Linked DNA regions of Diceros bicornis minor. The protein of the gene in region 2 interacts with the protein of the main gene of each other region in a biochemical or structural test. Links are inferred from orthologs where the notes say so. Each region holds a gene or a part of one and is shown on either strand. Other genes may lie near its edges.

Region 1 (7,881 bases), on a different chromosome or scaffold from region 2:
ACATACATCATGTTTTCTTTATAGCTTACTTCCCTACAGAACCCTGAATAATTTGGAAAAACAGATATATGCTTTGCTTTAGTTGAAGGTTATCTGAATAAAATCTCTAAAAATTAATAGGATCATATTTTATCCAATTGATTTCTTATAGGGGTGTATGCTTGTGAAATCACAAAAAGAAATTTTATATTCATTTATGAAAGGACTGCTTAGTGAGAGCCACATAACCCATTTCTACATAAAAGGATAGGATTCCATGTAATATTTACTTTCAATTGTATAGACATATTAAACTGACCCATCACCAAACTGACAGGTTCTCCTTAGCCTCGTTGGGATTTCTTGGCTTTTTGGACCCCCTAACTATACTGGACATTTCTTTCTTTGGGGAATGAGAAGGCATCGTCCACATTTGCATTTCACTGAAGTATTGCCTTTTTCTTGCACACTTTCAGCTGTGTGTATGCAATCATTTTCAGACTTTTTCTTTAAGATCCAGTTTTCAGGATTCATTTTAGTGTAGCAATTGAGTGCCCTGGTTTTGTCAGTCCTTGGCACTCAAGCCCCATTGAAAGTAAAAGGGCTCCAATCTCATTAGGGAAAACTGCACAGTAACCGGCAGACACGGTGTCTAAACATCTTCATTTTAGCTCTTGAGACCTTCCTCAGTACTCAGGGAGCTGCAGCACATCCTTATCACTGCAGCTTCAGGCAGGTACTGCCTCAAACAAAGGCTGGGGTGGATTTTATAGTCCACAAGTAACTGGGCATGGAAGAATTGAAGAGCAAAACCCTGGGCTGCTAGAGCCAGGAAGAAGCTTGACAGTAACTAGCATAGAGGTAGTTCGGTGTTCCAGGGAAGACTTTCTTGAAGCTTATTCAACTCCAAATTTATAGTGTTGTATTTCCGCCATAAAGCCGGTTTATGTTTACAGTCCACCACCAGAGTTAATAGAGATAGGAGTAGCTGTAACTACAGTGTGGTTAATGAAGACACAGTACATAAAATGTAAACTTTGCTGATTCTCTAATTGGCATAAAAGCCGAGACACAAGAAAGTGGTCTATATCAACATAGTATAGCTAAACACAAGTAATCAACACAAATAAAATCTTAAATTTAACAAGATTTAGATTTTCAATGTAAGAAAATCTCCTTTAACTATACTATAAAAGATTTCGTCTGTCCTCTTGAGCTGTGCTGTCCAATATGGCAGCCATTAGCCACACGTGGGCATTGAGCATCTGAATTTGACTAGTCCAGATCTATGTGCAATGAGTGTAAAACCACACTGAAGTTTGAAAACTTAGTGTGAATAAAAGAATGTAAAATATCTAATAAATAATTTTTATGTTATGTACACATTGAAATGATAACATTTTGATATATTGGGTTAAAGAAAGTATATTATAACAATTAATTTTACCCGTTTCTTTTTATTTTTTAAATGTGGCTACTAGAAAATTTAAAAGCACATATGTAGCTCACGTTTGTGGCTCGCTTTATATATTTTTATTGGACAGCACTTCTCTCGAGACTAAGGGACTGTAACAGCATAACTACACTGGTGTTCCACCTGAATATATTTTTGTCAGCTGTCGTAATTCATTAGTCACTAGTTCATAGTGTATAATGTGGGTTTGATACTTCTCAATGTACATTTTTGTTTTCTTCACACCTCTTTACTGCTAAACAGTCTTTTTCCTTCCATTAGAACTCCATTCCCACTTTGCCTACTTGGCAAATTCTTCTTACCTTTTAATAGCCAGCTGAGACATTATTTTCCCTGTAAAATTTTCTCTGAACTCCCTCATCCCACACCCACACCCTAAGTAGAAATAAACACTCTGTCCTCTGCGCTATGACAGTATCTTGCCTGATATCCTCCAAATGCCTACTGTTTGCTGAGCACAGGGGTAGGCGGTGGAGGTACCCAAATGCAAACCAGAGGGACATGGATTCTGTGTCTGTAGTGCTTGCATTTAGAGTGGGATACAGACAAGTAAACACCCAGTGGAAAAATGCTATAATGGGAGAGATTCAGGGAGCACACCATAAGCATACCTTTCTCAGACTACATCTTTGTGGTGGATAAACATATTGAGCCTGAACTATAAGTCTCTGATCCCATAGGGACTCTGGCTTTATAAAAATACTTTCGTTTAACTTTATAACCTGAAGGGCATCTTTTTTCGCATCACAATTGGTTAAAGCGGGAGTTGTGTACAAAATACAAATTACTTAATAGGCATTCTTATATTACATACATGCCCCAGTATCCTTGCAATGACTCTCTTAGCCAGGAAGTTTAGGTATTGATTTTTTAAAAACAATGAACAACAACAAAATAGCCCCAACACAATTAGCATCATTAAGTAAAAATGAATTCTACAAAAGGTGTGCAATTTACTCAACACTAATGCACTATCAAAAAGAGTTCAGGATTTTAACAATTGGCTTTCCGTGGGGTTGAGAAGATAGATTAATAATAAGAGGTGAGCAGCTTTGTTAAGTCATCTAACATACGGCAGTGGACTTGTTAACACTAGTGTTGGAGAGTAGGACCAATACTCAGCTTGCTGGGTTAACTGTGTACCTCACTTTTCAGGAGGTTATCTATCAACCTCAATGATCCAAACCCAGTTAAGAAGTAAAAAGAATGCTTTTCAAAGCAACATTTGAGTAGTCCAAATATCGGTCCCAAAATCTATGCATTAAGGTTCATGTGCCTTACTCCTTGGTGAGCACATCAATCCCTTACATTAGACTGAATTGTGACAAGTGAGGCTATCTGGATTCCCATTCCCAGTCTGCACCAGACTAGAAGCTGCCAATCAGAGGAGGAGGAGAATATTAGAAGCAAGCAAGCTGGCAACAGAGGAAGGACAACAGATTGTCAGCTAGTGAAGGGGGAGAGAGAGAAACTACAAAAGGCAGAGATAATCACTAAGCCATAGTATCCTGGAATCCATCAGTGCAGCAATTGATGGCTTATATACCTCCTGGGCGCGTCCCTAACACCTAGGAAGAAGCCTGATAGAGAACAGGAAGTCGATGCATTTGTTGAATCCACTACAACCTACAACAACAAATACTTTTAATAAAATTAACCCTGACTTTTCAAGAAAAAGCCAAACGAAGTCCAATAAACTACTTAAGAAAACAGAAACATGTATAATACATTTTAGAAAATCTTCATGTAACAGTCAAAAATAGTTTTTTAAAAAAGAAGTTTGACTGCGTAAAGGGCCATACTCCAATTATGCTGATCATCACCTAACTGGAACAGTTCTCTCATTTATCCAATATTGGATAAATGATGCAATATAGAACAGCAGACTTTACTAAGTTGCCTTAAGCAGATTTCAAACTGTGGTATATGCAAATAATAAGCCATCGCATGAAGTTTAAACTATATAAGATGGCAACAGATCACACAGTTGAATTACTAGGGTGATGTAAAATAATTGTTCTAAAATGCACCATCATCATTAAGCAAAATATTCCTACCATGTGCCCAGGACTGTGCTAGGTGCTAGATTTATTAAGCATTAATTTGAAAAAAGGCTTTCACTTTTAAGACTATGAAGGTATTCCAAAACTCTCCTTCATATTTTTAAAGGTTAAACGAAATTTTAAGTGCACAAGATAGCCATTACATAACAAGCATAGAATACTGTTTTATGACTTGGATAGGTTTTTTTTTTTTTTTTTTAAGTGCACTAGCAACTCTATTTTCAAATGCTATCGAATTCTTAAGGCTATGAAAACCTACATATAAGAATGGAGTGCCTCATCCACTCATTTGTTTTGTGTAATAAGTGTTTTAACACAGGCATACCATTTCGGAGTTTAGGGTGAGGCTAAGCTGTACTTGAGCATTCTCATATCGAGCAAAAACAATTTCAGCAACGGCACTCATTTCCCCTGGTAATTTTTTCATGGCGAGTTACTAAACGCTAGACGCTGGAGTCAAAAAGAAACCTGACATCTGGGGAGGTGTTGAAGGGGTGTTAATAGTTCTAGTTAGATGTTTGGGCAGCGTTGAGGATAAGATTTTAAAACAGCAAATACAAAGAGAAGGGGGAAATTCTTTTTCGTCTGACTCTCTCCTCCCTCCACTCTCTTGCTTCACCAATCCATGTCCCCCCCAATTAAGACGCGGGTTCAGCGAGATTCGGCTGCAGGAAACCGAGAGGCTCCACAGCGCTGCCTCCCTGGCCTCGTGATGTAATTGTTATTTCTTATCTGGAGACTGAACTGAAGAGAGCTGCCGAAGAAGTGGCAGCCCTGTTCTTTTTGCCTCGTCTTGTAGGGTCAAATTCTTCCCAGGGATGATGTAGATTCGCTGACAGACTCCGCTGGTGACTTCGCAGTGACAAAGCAGCTGACGATAAACCCTGCTCCTGGGTCCTACGTCCGTCCAAGGAGCTGCCCCGGGCACTCCTCAGGTCTCCTGCCCAGTTTGCCTCTGGAGTCACTCCACATTCATTCCTGGGTGCCTACTACGTGCTGGGCGTGGAGTCAGAGTGACCTGAAGTTAGTGCCTGTGCCCCCCAGGATTAAAGCAGGACACACAGATCACAAGGTGGTGGAAATTGGGGGTGGGTGGGAGGGAGCCCAGGGGCGCGTGGTGTGGGGTGACATGGGAGGAGGGCAGCACCCAGGCGGGGACCCGGGGCGTCCCGGCCCCCAGGCTGTGTCCCCGAGAGGAGCCTTTGGCCCGTGTGGCCAGAACGATGCCCCGGGCCTCCGGGAGGAGCTGTCCAGGCGCTTCGGGGGCGGCTGGACAGAGCCGGAGCGGAGGGGGCCGGCTCGGGCGCGAGGGGCCCCCACCTCTCCCGGCCCACGCGATCCTCCGCTGCCCGGGGCCCGGCAGCCCCCGCCGGCCCTCCGGAGGGCGGGCAAGGAGGATAAGCACAAAACCGAGGGGACCGCTCAGCTCCCGCGAGCTGCCCGGCCCCGAGCGGCTGCCTGCGGCCCGGGTGACAATGGGCGGGAGGGGAAAAAAAGGGTTAAGAAACTTGGCTGAACAGCTGAATGGCGTGGAGCGGCGAGGGGAGGGACTGGGCCGCGGCGGCCTCGGCGGCGGAGGGAGGAGCGCGGCTGCGGGCAGGCGGCGAGCGAGGCGCTCAAAGTCAGCCTCGCAGACATTGCAGCAGAGCCCCGAACTCGGGAGGCGGCGGCGGCGGCGGAGGAGGCGGCGGCCGCGGCGGAGGGACGAGCCGGCCCCGCGCCCGCCCGCGCGCGCCCGCCCGTGGCCTTGCGTCCGCCGCTGCGCCCGGCAGCGCTGCTGCGCGCGGGGAGAGCCGGCCGGGGCGCCGAGGGAGGACGGGGCGGCGCGGCGCCTTCGCGGAGGGAGCCTCGCGGAGCCCGGGGCTCGGAGCCGCGGCGGCCTCGGGTGAGTGGCGGCCGCGGCCGGGGGGCTCCGGGGAGCGGCCGCGGCGGCGCCGCCGGAAACGGCCCGGAGCGCGGCCCGCGGCGGCGCTGGCGTTGGCGGGCAGGGCCGCGGGGGCGTCGGGGCGGCGGGAGCGATCGCGGACGGCGGGGTGGCCTCGGCGGCCGGGAGGAACCGTTTCCGGGGAGATCGCGCCTCTCCAGCCGGGGCCGAATCTCCCCGGGAACTCGGGGGCCCGGCCAGCGGGGCGGCCAAGTTGTGGAGTTAGCCGCGGGCTCACCGGCCCGTCCGTGCCGCCCCTGTGCCGAGCGGCGTGTCCCCTGAGCCGGCTGGGCACGGGTGGCCGGGCCGGGGGCGCGCCCCGCTCGGCTGCCCCTGGGCCCCGAGTCCCGGGCGCTGCTCGCCGCGCAGCTCTCGCTCCTGCTGCCCGGGGCGTCCTGGGCGGCGCCGGGCGCAGCTCCCCGCCTCTCGCCCGAGTGCCTCCCTGCGCCGTGCTCGCCGGACTCGGGGCCAGGAAAAGTGAATAGGGAAAGGGGCCGCGCTGCCCACCCCAGACCCCCAGGCCCGGGCCGTCGGTACTTGTCCTTCCCCTCCGAGGGCGAGGCTCCCAGGACCCGAGGCCTCAACCATCACTTTACCCCTGAGCCAGAAACCCGCCTCACGTTTCGGGTGAGTCCCGTGGAGGTCCTGGGAGGCTTCTTTTCTCTCCTCTTACTTCTGTATCCTTCTTACTATTAGTGGATATTGTTTTACGAAGGGTTTCCCTGGAAAGATTCTGCAAACCCTCCCATCCTTTCCAAAGTAGTTTCCAAATTTTAATCAAGAGTTGGTGTTCAGTCTGAAGGAACAAAGGAATCAACTGTGTCTTAGAGGCGAACAAGCTGGGAGTCCGTGACACATGTTGATCTCTGAAGCATTCCGGGAGTTTCTACCTTTTATCTCGTTGGTGATTTAATTGGGTGCTGAAGATAGTAAAAGACCAGCATGATGAGTACTTTTGCGTTTTTAAAAGGACATTTTATTTGGAAAAACAATTAAGACGTTCCTAGCTACAAGGACTTTTCACTCAGTTGGTGGAACTGAGGTGGAGTCTGTCTCTGGTAATGTAAATGATTAAATGTGAGATTGCGTGTGGGGGGGGACTGTCTTGAGAGGAAGAGAGACCGTCTGTAGTCTTCCAAAGTGAAAATGGTTGTCGGTTTATATATGATGAATGCTCTTTACGTTTCGGGGGGGAATTTGTGAAGCAAAGGGCTTTGGTAAATCATTCTTTAAATTTATGAATCGCATAGAACCTGCTTATTAGTGAATCATAGGTTTAGCAAGTGGGTGGCATCTTCCTGATGTAATTATTCAATGTTTAATCACCAGTTTGCCACCTTTGTTGAAGAGACACTGAAATAAGTGGACCTTTTAAAATAAACGGTGCTTCATCTGCCTGGCACCCAAGTGTGGGTTGCTGCCTTGAGCCTGTTGAAATGTTTTTCAACTTCGAAGTTAGTTGCTCTGGTTTTGCCCAGCGGTTTGGTCATGTCGAGTGGGTTTAACTGATTCAGAGAGTAGTGGCTTCATCAGGGATGGTAACTTCTCTCTGCCTGGAATTAGTTCCTAGAGACAAAGAAGAGTCAGTCAGTGGAACAGCTGCTACCCTACAGGCTGTAGGGTTGTTAGTCTGTTTCATACATTCTGGTGGGGAAAGACCTCTTTCCATACTTAGCCCTGAAAGTGCTCTAGGAGTGTGAGTAATAGATATATTTGGAAAAAAAAAAAAAAAGAAGACGACTGCTTATTGTTGGTTTTACTCAAAGGAGTTCTCTACAGTGCCTTTGAGGTCGTTGAAAACCAGGTTTAGTGCCTTTGGAAAGACTTGACTTAGTTGGACTCACTTCTTGCATGTGTCTGCAAACTGCAGAACTTGGATTTTACTAATGTAAACACCCTAAAATATTGTAAGTCCGCAATAAAGAAGTGTCTAAATGAGGCTAAAGGCTCTTCTGACTCTTGCAGTTTTAAGAGCAAAACATCATGATAAAAAATAACCTATACCACCACCTAGAGTCTGTTTGTTAGTTTATTGCTCCTGAAGTTTGCTTAAATTGACATGTCTCTTGCAGTTCTGATATAGCCAAAAAAATGATTAAAAAGTGCTAGCTTTCAAAAGGCCATCCAAGAGAACAATTATTTGTGTAATAAATAGCAAGTGCCAATTGACATTATCCCTGCTACCTTCAGAATTGAAAATTCTGATATATCAAGTTGAGTGGGCTATTCTCCAAAAGATATTAATTCAAAAGAATTTGAAACAGGGAATTTTCAGTTTGTGCCCCAAGGTAGCTCTTATTGCTTAAAGACTTTCTACATTGGCTACCAGAGATTCAAGAAATCTTACAGATTAAATGCCGTTAGGACTTTTTGATGTCCAGGTGAAACAGAAACAATGATAAAACAAAAATATGAGGGAGTGTTAAAACTCCAGAAATTCT
Region 2 (8,073 bases):
AGTGGCATTAAATGGCAGTTTGTGATGGGGACACCAGAGGGCACTGACTGCCTTGAAAGTGGAAGCATGGGGCTGGGGTAGTCTTGAGGGAAGGGGGAAAAAGCTAAGTTTGATTCGTTTGGGAGATTGCTGTACTTTTATAACTCAAACATGTGCTTGGAATGCAAACCATGTGTGATATGAATGGTCTGAGAGCCAGTGACGAAGTCTGTGCTTCTCCCTGAGCTCTTCTGACTCCTTCTACCTTTCTGATATGGACTTGAGTTTGGGAACTTGATATGTGTACAAACGATCTGTTGGCCACTGTTTCATTCATGCTGCCCACTGTATCCTTGCAATGTGATCTGGGCTACAGCAGGTGGTATGGGATAGAAGAAGGGCACACAGAACCCTCTGAAATGCACACTAGCCACTGGTGTATGTAGCAGAGCATAGTCTGTAGACAGGAGTCTGAATGTCATACTCCCCCTCACACTCCTTTATTAGAGCATTCATTCCCTCTGAAGGTAATTTGCAAGTGGAAAACAGTTCTATACCTAGAAGCTTGGAAAGTGTCTGGGGCTATAAGGGTTAACAAGCATAATTGCAAAGATTGTCCGAAGGCTGATGGAAAGCAGAGACTGAATGGGATTGAGAACAGATGCGAGGCTTGATTTAAATTACATTTTATTGGATGCTGCAGCCTTAAGAGACGTGACTGCTTTACAGTTTGTTTCCACACTGTGGGCAGCTGCTGTCTGTTCTGTGTCCACAGTAGGATCCTGCCCAAAAAGGAGCGGCCTCCCCACCTCGTTGTGTTTGAGGCTTGGCGCCTTCCTCTTAACTTTAGGGCTTGAGTCAGGAACATGGCTTGACTCGCAGTGGGGCTGCTATGTATCCTCCATGGCTCTGAGCCAAGATTGCATTTGCAGATCCAAGGGGCCAAATTTTTTTCCCCTCTACCTCCCTTCTCTCCCTTTCCCCGGGTATTTGGAAATAGGGTTTTCTGTGTACTGGTTTGTCAGTTTCCTTTCCTTCAGTTCTCTCCCCACCGTCAATTTCTAGGTCATTGCTGCTCTTAAGACTTCAGCAATTGGAACAGGGTTGGTTCTGTCAATGATGCGTGAAGCAGACTTAGAGTCCCTGCTTGGCTTCCGCTGCCCTTGTGGGAGCAAAAGCTGATGTATGTTTGTCAGTGAAGTCTTAAGTGTAATTCAAACAGCCGAGGAGCAGATTGAGGGGAGGAAGAAAATCCTTTTCTTGCTGAAGCTGAGAGCTATGGGAAGGTGCTGGGATTTTTAGTGGGATGGGATGGGTTTGTGGTTACTAGTTTTTGCCAGGATCATAGGCTGTTTCACATAGAGTAGTGGCAAAAGATGCTGACCTACATTCTTCCTTTTGAAGGTGGTGGGGTGTGTGTCTATATCCTGGTTTATTTATTTTTCTTCAGAGAAGCAGATTAAGCTTCCATAGAGCGTTGGTGGGTATTGCCATGGAAAGAACATAGACACAATAAAATTGGTGTGAGTTTCAACCCCAGAGCTACCGCTGACATTTCTGGCTCAATGAAGACTTGCCTGTGGCTAGATAACTGGCAAGAGTGTGTGAGGTCCAAGCTACCCAGAGATCAAAAAATGTTGGCAGAGCTCTGTTCTCTCTTCCCCACTTTGGTCCCTGCCTTTATTAAGTGCCCTTTTAAGATACACCAATAAGAACTGGGAAGTAGGAATGAGACACGACTTGGAGATTTTTAAAAATATGTTTTGAGAGGTGTTACCTTGACTGTGGAGGAAGACCAAAAGAGAGAGCCAAGATTGAGATTTTATTTACATTTGTGTCTGTCTCCAGCACTTAGTGCAGAGCCCAGTACCTGGTAGGTATTCAGTAAGCAATTGTTGAATGAACAGAAATGAACCAAGTTGCTGCCGTTCCTTCCGTCTTGAGGACAGTTCTGATCTGGAGGTAAACATGGCTGATGCTTTTGCACTGACGTAGAACAGGCCCCTGTAAAAGAAGGGTGCTCCATCTTACAAAATGTGGAGGATTTATTGGCCTCACATATGCGTTCCAATCGCTCCCTCTGATGTAGTGGTATTTTGCTTAAGGCAACTTCCATGTTGCTCCCAGGAAGCCTTGCCTATGGGGAGAGTCCTACCTACCAGGTGGGAGGAGGGGTACCTGTCTGGATGTTACCTATGTCCCTAGAGATTGGCCAGAAGCTGTGCCTCTAGGTGGCAAGGGATTAAGAAGGAACCCACCTTTGATGTCCCACATTTTCACTTTTGGGGAAAGTTGTAATCTTGGGTTCCTCCTAAAAAGATAAGGTGCTCTCTAAGACATTCTCTTTTAAGCTACCGACAGAGGCAGGTCTCCCTCTTCTCAGAAGAAAGGCTTCTGTAGGGGAGAAGGCGTGACCTCTGGCCTCTTCTTCATTTTTAACCCCAACCCCAAGGTACTGGCAGTAGAAGCTAACTGGGTGCAAGGGGCCTGGGTAAAGGCTGTCTGAAGACTGGCGAAAGGAGAGAGCCAGCTCCTTTTTTAAAAAGCTCTAATTGAGTTCTGAATCAGCCTCACTCCCTTTGATCCCTCCTCTGTTTCCCACACTGCCTGAAACAGCTAGATCAGCATTTTATAACAAGGGTGCGCCTGCTCCCCGCACCCGCCCCCCCTCCTGACGCTCTCTGCTGCCGCCATCCACTGCTTGTCTCCTTCAGTTAAGATAATGAAGATGCTGAGAGATAAAATGTGTATTTAATAAGGGTGGGGGTAGGGAGGCAGAAAGGGGCAGCCAGGGCCTTCCCTAGTTTGGGGCCTAGCCAAGACTCAAGCTGAAAGCAAAGCTAGAGTAAAACTTGGCCAAAGGGTGTGGGGGTTTCTGGGCCTCAATCCAGCTGACTTCACTGCCTGCTGTTTGCCCTAAATTCCCCCACCTCCAGCCTCTCACCCCCACACTCCTTTCTTTCCTCTCTTCATCCTCCCAGTGGGAAAAGGGAGACTTGCTTCAACTTTATTTTCAGCTGGTAACTTGGCCTTTGGTGCAGCACCCCCCAACCCAGAGTCAGTTGCAAGGTCAGCTAGGGCAGCCCCCACTGGCCTAGGGCTGTAGAAGCTGTGGGTTCACAGTGGGGGGTGAAAAAAGCTAGAGTTAATGAAGACCAGCTGTTAGTCTGGGTTCTGCCTACAGTTAGCTGGAGACCAGCCGTTGGTTGTTGGAGGTACGAGGGTACGTGACCTCCATCCCTGGGCACAAGGATATCCTGTGGCAGCTGAGGATTGTGCTGCTCTGAGCTTGGTTGTATCCTTAGTTTGTAAGAGAGTAGTCTGTTTCCCTCTTTCCTTGCTCCTCCCTTCCCCAAATAACACTCAGCCCTTATTGAGCTTTATAACTGTAGTGGTGGCTCAGCTGAGATCTGAGGATCTCCAAGCTCTTGTAAACACTCATTAACTGCCTGGGAAGAACCAAGAGCCCGGTGTAACAGCTGGGAGGGAACTGAGGCACATTAGGGTGAAAGGCTTGACCTGAGCTCATCCCATGGACTCCACCCTGAGGCCCTTGTCCTTCTGTACTATCTAGCTTCTTTCCCCATTTTTCTTGCAAGACAGAGAAGAAGGTGGAGGCAATGCTACTGCCCTCTCCCCTTCTAGGAAGAGGCCATGCTTTCTCCCTTCCCTCAAGTCTGTCCCTGACTTCCCCTGGCCCTTTACCCCATGACGTTTTCCCTGCTCTGCTGCTGCGGGAGATATGTGCAACTCTCCTTGCAAAATGTTCTCAATCCAGCCCCCTGCAGCCTTCCTATCCACCTTTCCCTGGCCCACCTGGCCCACCAAACCTGAGTTCTCCCTTTGGAGCTACTGAGAAGATCGGCTATCCTAAACTGGCTCTGTAACCTTGAAGTTGATCTAAGTGTGTTAAGAGGCCCCTCTGCCCCCTATATTTATCCCAAATGGTACCTGGGAAAACATTCTCTTTAGATTGTTCATCCTGGTAAAGTTTCAGGATGGGCTGAGTAGGGCCACTAGTTGACCCCTAGATTCTGCACCTCGTTCTTCCACTGACAATTGCCATTTCTGGTAATGGATGGAGCTCAGTCACCCAGCCCCACCTGCTCACACTCTCACTGTATATGCATAATCTGCATACCTCAACACTCCCAGATACACCTCAGCCTAAGGGTATAAAACAGCAGTTTCCAACTGCCATCCAAATTATACTGCCCTTTTTACTTACTGGAAATCAAGGGGTGGCCTTCTTGGCATTTAGGAATAGTGGGGAGGGATGAGGAGACTGCTACATCTACGAGGGATAGGGTAGAAATGAGCACCCTTCCAAAATGAATGCCCCCTTCCCCAAATTCTCCATAGCTAAGTGGCTTAGCTGGAGTGATAGGGAAAGAGATCTTAACCCCATCTTCAGCACCAAAGCCCAAATCCATCTGCTTGGGGCAGGCAGGAAGAAATGTCTTTTTTCTCCTGTACTGTATTATCCTATCCTCAGCTAAAGTCATCCATGTGCTGTGTATTTGAGATTGGGGACTGTTCCTGTCTCCAGCCCATGACTCAGATTTTCTCTCAGTCTTTCTCCCAGTGAATTCTTTCTCTCCCATCAGTCCTCAGCTCTGCACCCGATGACCCAGTCGGGGCTGGTGGAAGAGGGCGGGGAGAGCTTACTGTGTGGTGACTGGGCTTTAGGACCCAACGGGAACCTGAGCCTCTTGCAGCAGCCTAACCCAGAAGCAGAGGGGAATCCTGAATCGAGCTGAGAGGGCTTCCCCGGTTCTCCTGGGAACCCCATTGCCCTCATGCCAGCACGCACCTGGCAGGACCACAGGTAGGACCACACACACCCCTTCCCAATTCTCCCTCGGCTGCTTGCCGCCGGGCCTCTTCGCTTCCGATCTGGTCGTTTCCCTCTCGCCAGTTGAGGCTTTCCCCGTCCCTCCTCCCCCACCGCTCACTGTAGTCCTGGGAGGTGGGAGCCTGGGAACAGTGGGGTGTCTGAAACTCAGAGCCCCTGCACCCTCCAGCGCCTTTCCTGCACTTCCCCCGAGGCATTCCCTGTTCTCTGGCTAAGAATAGAAAGTGAGGGGAAGGTCTGCTCAGGCCTCACGCCCTTGCACCCTCCTTTGCAGTATTGCCTAATACCCCTTCCCCCACCTCACCTCGACAGGAGAATTGGCAGTGCTGGGGTAATAGAGAACAGAGGGAGCAGGAGAGGGACCTGAGCCCCCCTGGGGGATTTCTCTCTTGCTTCCTCTCTGCCTCCCAAGCCCAAGAACTCAGGACTTCACCCCCTCCTCCCTACTCACCTTGTAGGGGAACTAACGTCCCTTTCCAGGCTCATCTCACACTTGGGTGGCCAAAGCCTTTGCTGGAGAATGGTGGAGGTTGTGAGCGGTTTTTGGTGACCTTTTCCTCTGGGGAAAGTTCTTTCAGCTTAGAGCCCCCATCCCTGCCAACACCTCAACGCCTGTAGGAAAGTCCTCCACCTGCCCCCCCACCCCCTGTGTGTTTGTGTGTGTGTGTGTGTTTGTGTGTGTGTGTGTGTGTGTGTACCATATACTTGTAAGATCTATAAGCTTTGGATAGAGGTGGCTGCGTGCATTGAAGGGGAGAGATCCCAGAGTCTGGCCAAGGCCAGAACAGGCTCAGCCCAGATGGCTGGGAATGGGGGTGTGGACCACATCCAGAAGGCCACCCAGCCATGCCAGCAACCTGGGCTCCTCGGCTTTCAGAGCCTCAGGCTCATGGTGTTACCCTGAAGCTTCTGCCCTCCTGCAGGCTCTCGGGGAGAGGGCTGGATGGCACCTACTGTTTACAGTGGCTTGTTTCTCTCTCCAGCGGGGGACTGACAAGCCCTGCTCTCTGAAGATCTAGGGCACCTCATTATGGTTTGGTGGGTTTGCAGGATTAGTGTATGAGTAACTCTGTGTGTGAGTGTGTATATTGCCTCTGGGTGTAGCGGACTGGGGAGGGGAGTGATAGAAGAGACTGGAAACACTTTGGGGGAACCCCTTTAGCTCTCTGTGTGTTGGAGGTGGGTGCCATGTCCCTATCTGGTAACTCTGTCTAGGTGTGGGGTTGGTTTGGAGGAAAGGGTGGAGATTGGAGTAATTTCAGACTTAGTTCTGCTCTTGACCCAGGGAGAAAAGTAGAGATTCTGAGTGCAAGCAGTGGACTGAGAATCAGAGGCCTGAATTTGAGACTCAGCCCTGTCATTTAACTATGTGCATTTATACAGGTCTCTAAGCCTCTGTTTCTTTACTTGTAAAAATGATGATCAGTAACAAGCCCCGCTTGCCTGGTAGAGATAATGCTATCAAGATGCCTTAAGACAGTATATTGTAAAGCCCAGTGCAAATGGTAGTTATGGCTGGAGTGCAGAGGGTGGGGAGGGTTCTAGGATGGGATTCTCTTCCTAAATCTAGGTCAGTCTCTCTGCCTTCAGTTTCCTTCCCCCATCCTTGCCCATCTGGGGAATGGAGGAACCAGGCAGGGCTGTTGCCCCAGGGTTCTGCAGAATTCCCCTAATGCCAGTTGTAGCTGATGCCAGAGCGCCTGTGGTCAGAGAGGACAGATCTCTCTACCAGGCTTTTCTTCCTCTGGGGCTCCACACCTTCTCCCCCAAGCCCTGTCTCCACCTTCCTTCTGCCATTCCTGCTCCACGTCCTTGTCCCTGTCTCTCCCCTGCCCAGTGGCCTCCTTGTCCGGCTCACTGGGCAGGAGCCCTAATCGGATTCGACAGCTGAGATGTGTGTGGCGGCTGAGAGCAGGCGGGAGGGAAGCCAGTGGGAGGATGGTATGAGGGCTGCCCCTGGCACTGCCCAGGCCTCCCAGGCACCACCTTGGGCCTGCTGACTCCCGGTTTGGCTTGGCCCTGGGGAAGGGGTGCCAGAAGAAGCTCAGGAATGAAGGGGCTGGGGTCTGAAGATTAGGGGAGTGGGAAACACACCCAGGACCCCAGGACCTCTTGGATATTTGGTGGCCTTAATGTCAGTATCTCTGACTCTGACAGGGAGGAGAGGACAGCAGGTGAGAGCCAGGCTACCCCCCCTGCCCCCCCCCCCCCCCCCCGCCATCCCCATGGCACCACTTTCTTCTCTCTTCTTATTCAGAAATGTGTTCCCTTTCCCCATCCAGCCCCTTTGGCCAGTTCTCCTTATGGGGCTCGTCTGGGAGCTGCTAGGGGCACCATGTGTCTACCTCACTTGGGCTGTTTCCTCCCCTCCAAGGTATTTCTCTCACTCACTCTCTGGGCTGGGTGCCAGGACTCCTGGGTTTCCTGCCTGCCTCATGGTGCAGGGCTGCCCTGCAGGCCTCCAGAGAGTCGCTAAGCTGGTTTCCTTCCTCCTGTATGAGGAGGGCCTTCTCCCAGGGCTGGGAGGTGTCAGGAATCCCAGGTGGGATAAGGGTGGGTGCACTGTAGCCCCTGGCACCATAGCACCCTGATCCTTCCCTCCTAGCCTCTGACTCAGCTTGGAGGCAGCACATGCCCAGCCTGGCAGGCATGGCCTGTTCTCACCTTCAGGCTTCCATCTTTACATGTGGAAGCCAAGATTTTCTGCTATCCTTTTTAGCTTTTTCCCCATGGTATCTGGGGGTGGCTCTCAAAATCCCTATGTCTGCACCCACACATTTTGGGGAGCAGGGGATTAGCATAATTAAAGCTGGGGCACTATTTTGTCTTCCCTCCAGCTGGGCCAGGGTGAAGGAAACCAGCACAAACTTCCCCGTGCCAATTCTCTCTGCCCTCAAAAGACCAGCCCGTGGAGCCAGGCCCTGCCCTCTCGGTGCCCACAATGTGGTTGGCACTGATTTGTCAGAAATTGGAAAGGTTTCCCTCTAGACCGCTTGCCTCCTCTCTCCTCCTCTTGCGGGGTAGGGACAGCTCTGTGATTGTAGGCACTTATGGGCAGGCCTCCCCCTAGGGAAGGGGTGTGGGATGCCCCTGAGATGGCCAAGTTGGCACTAGCTCCAGGCTAGAGTGCTAGACATGGTTCTGAGCTGGGAATTTGTGGGGGAGAGCAGGACATGGGCTCCCTGCCCCCTCATTTCCTGCTCTTTGGGCAGCTGTGGGCGAGAAAGTCTGCAGGGACT

What was found.
Region 1: the proteins of RARA (region 2) and NRIP1 form a complex in vitro, tested with the Homo sapiens proteins (4 studies listed by BioGRID). The link is inferred for Diceros bicornis minor from reciprocal best matches to the Homo sapiens genes RARA and NRIP1.

The regions. Positions count from the first base shown.
Region 1 is NC_080766.1:17,394,820-17,402,700, reverse strand, and holds the start of NRIP1 (nuclear receptor-interacting protein 1), read left to right. Parts: upstream 1-4,290; 5' UTR 4,291-4,588; intron 4,589-5,129; exon of another isoform or gene 5,130-5,401; intron 5,402-5,419; exon of another isoform or gene 5,420-6,067; intron 6,068-7,881. UniProt on the Homo sapiens protein: Modulates transcriptional activation by steroid receptors such as NR3C1, NR3C2 and ESR1. Also modulates transcriptional repression by nuclear hormone receptors.
Region 2 is NC_080757.1:39,814,404-39,822,476, forward strand, and holds the start of RARA (retinoic acid receptor alpha), read left to right. Parts: upstream 1-4,703; 5' UTR 4,704-4,807; intron 4,808-8,073. UniProt on the Homo sapiens protein: Receptor for retinoic acid. Retinoic acid receptors bind as heterodimers to their target response elements in response to their ligands, all-trans or 9-cis retinoic acid, and regulate gene expression in various biological processes.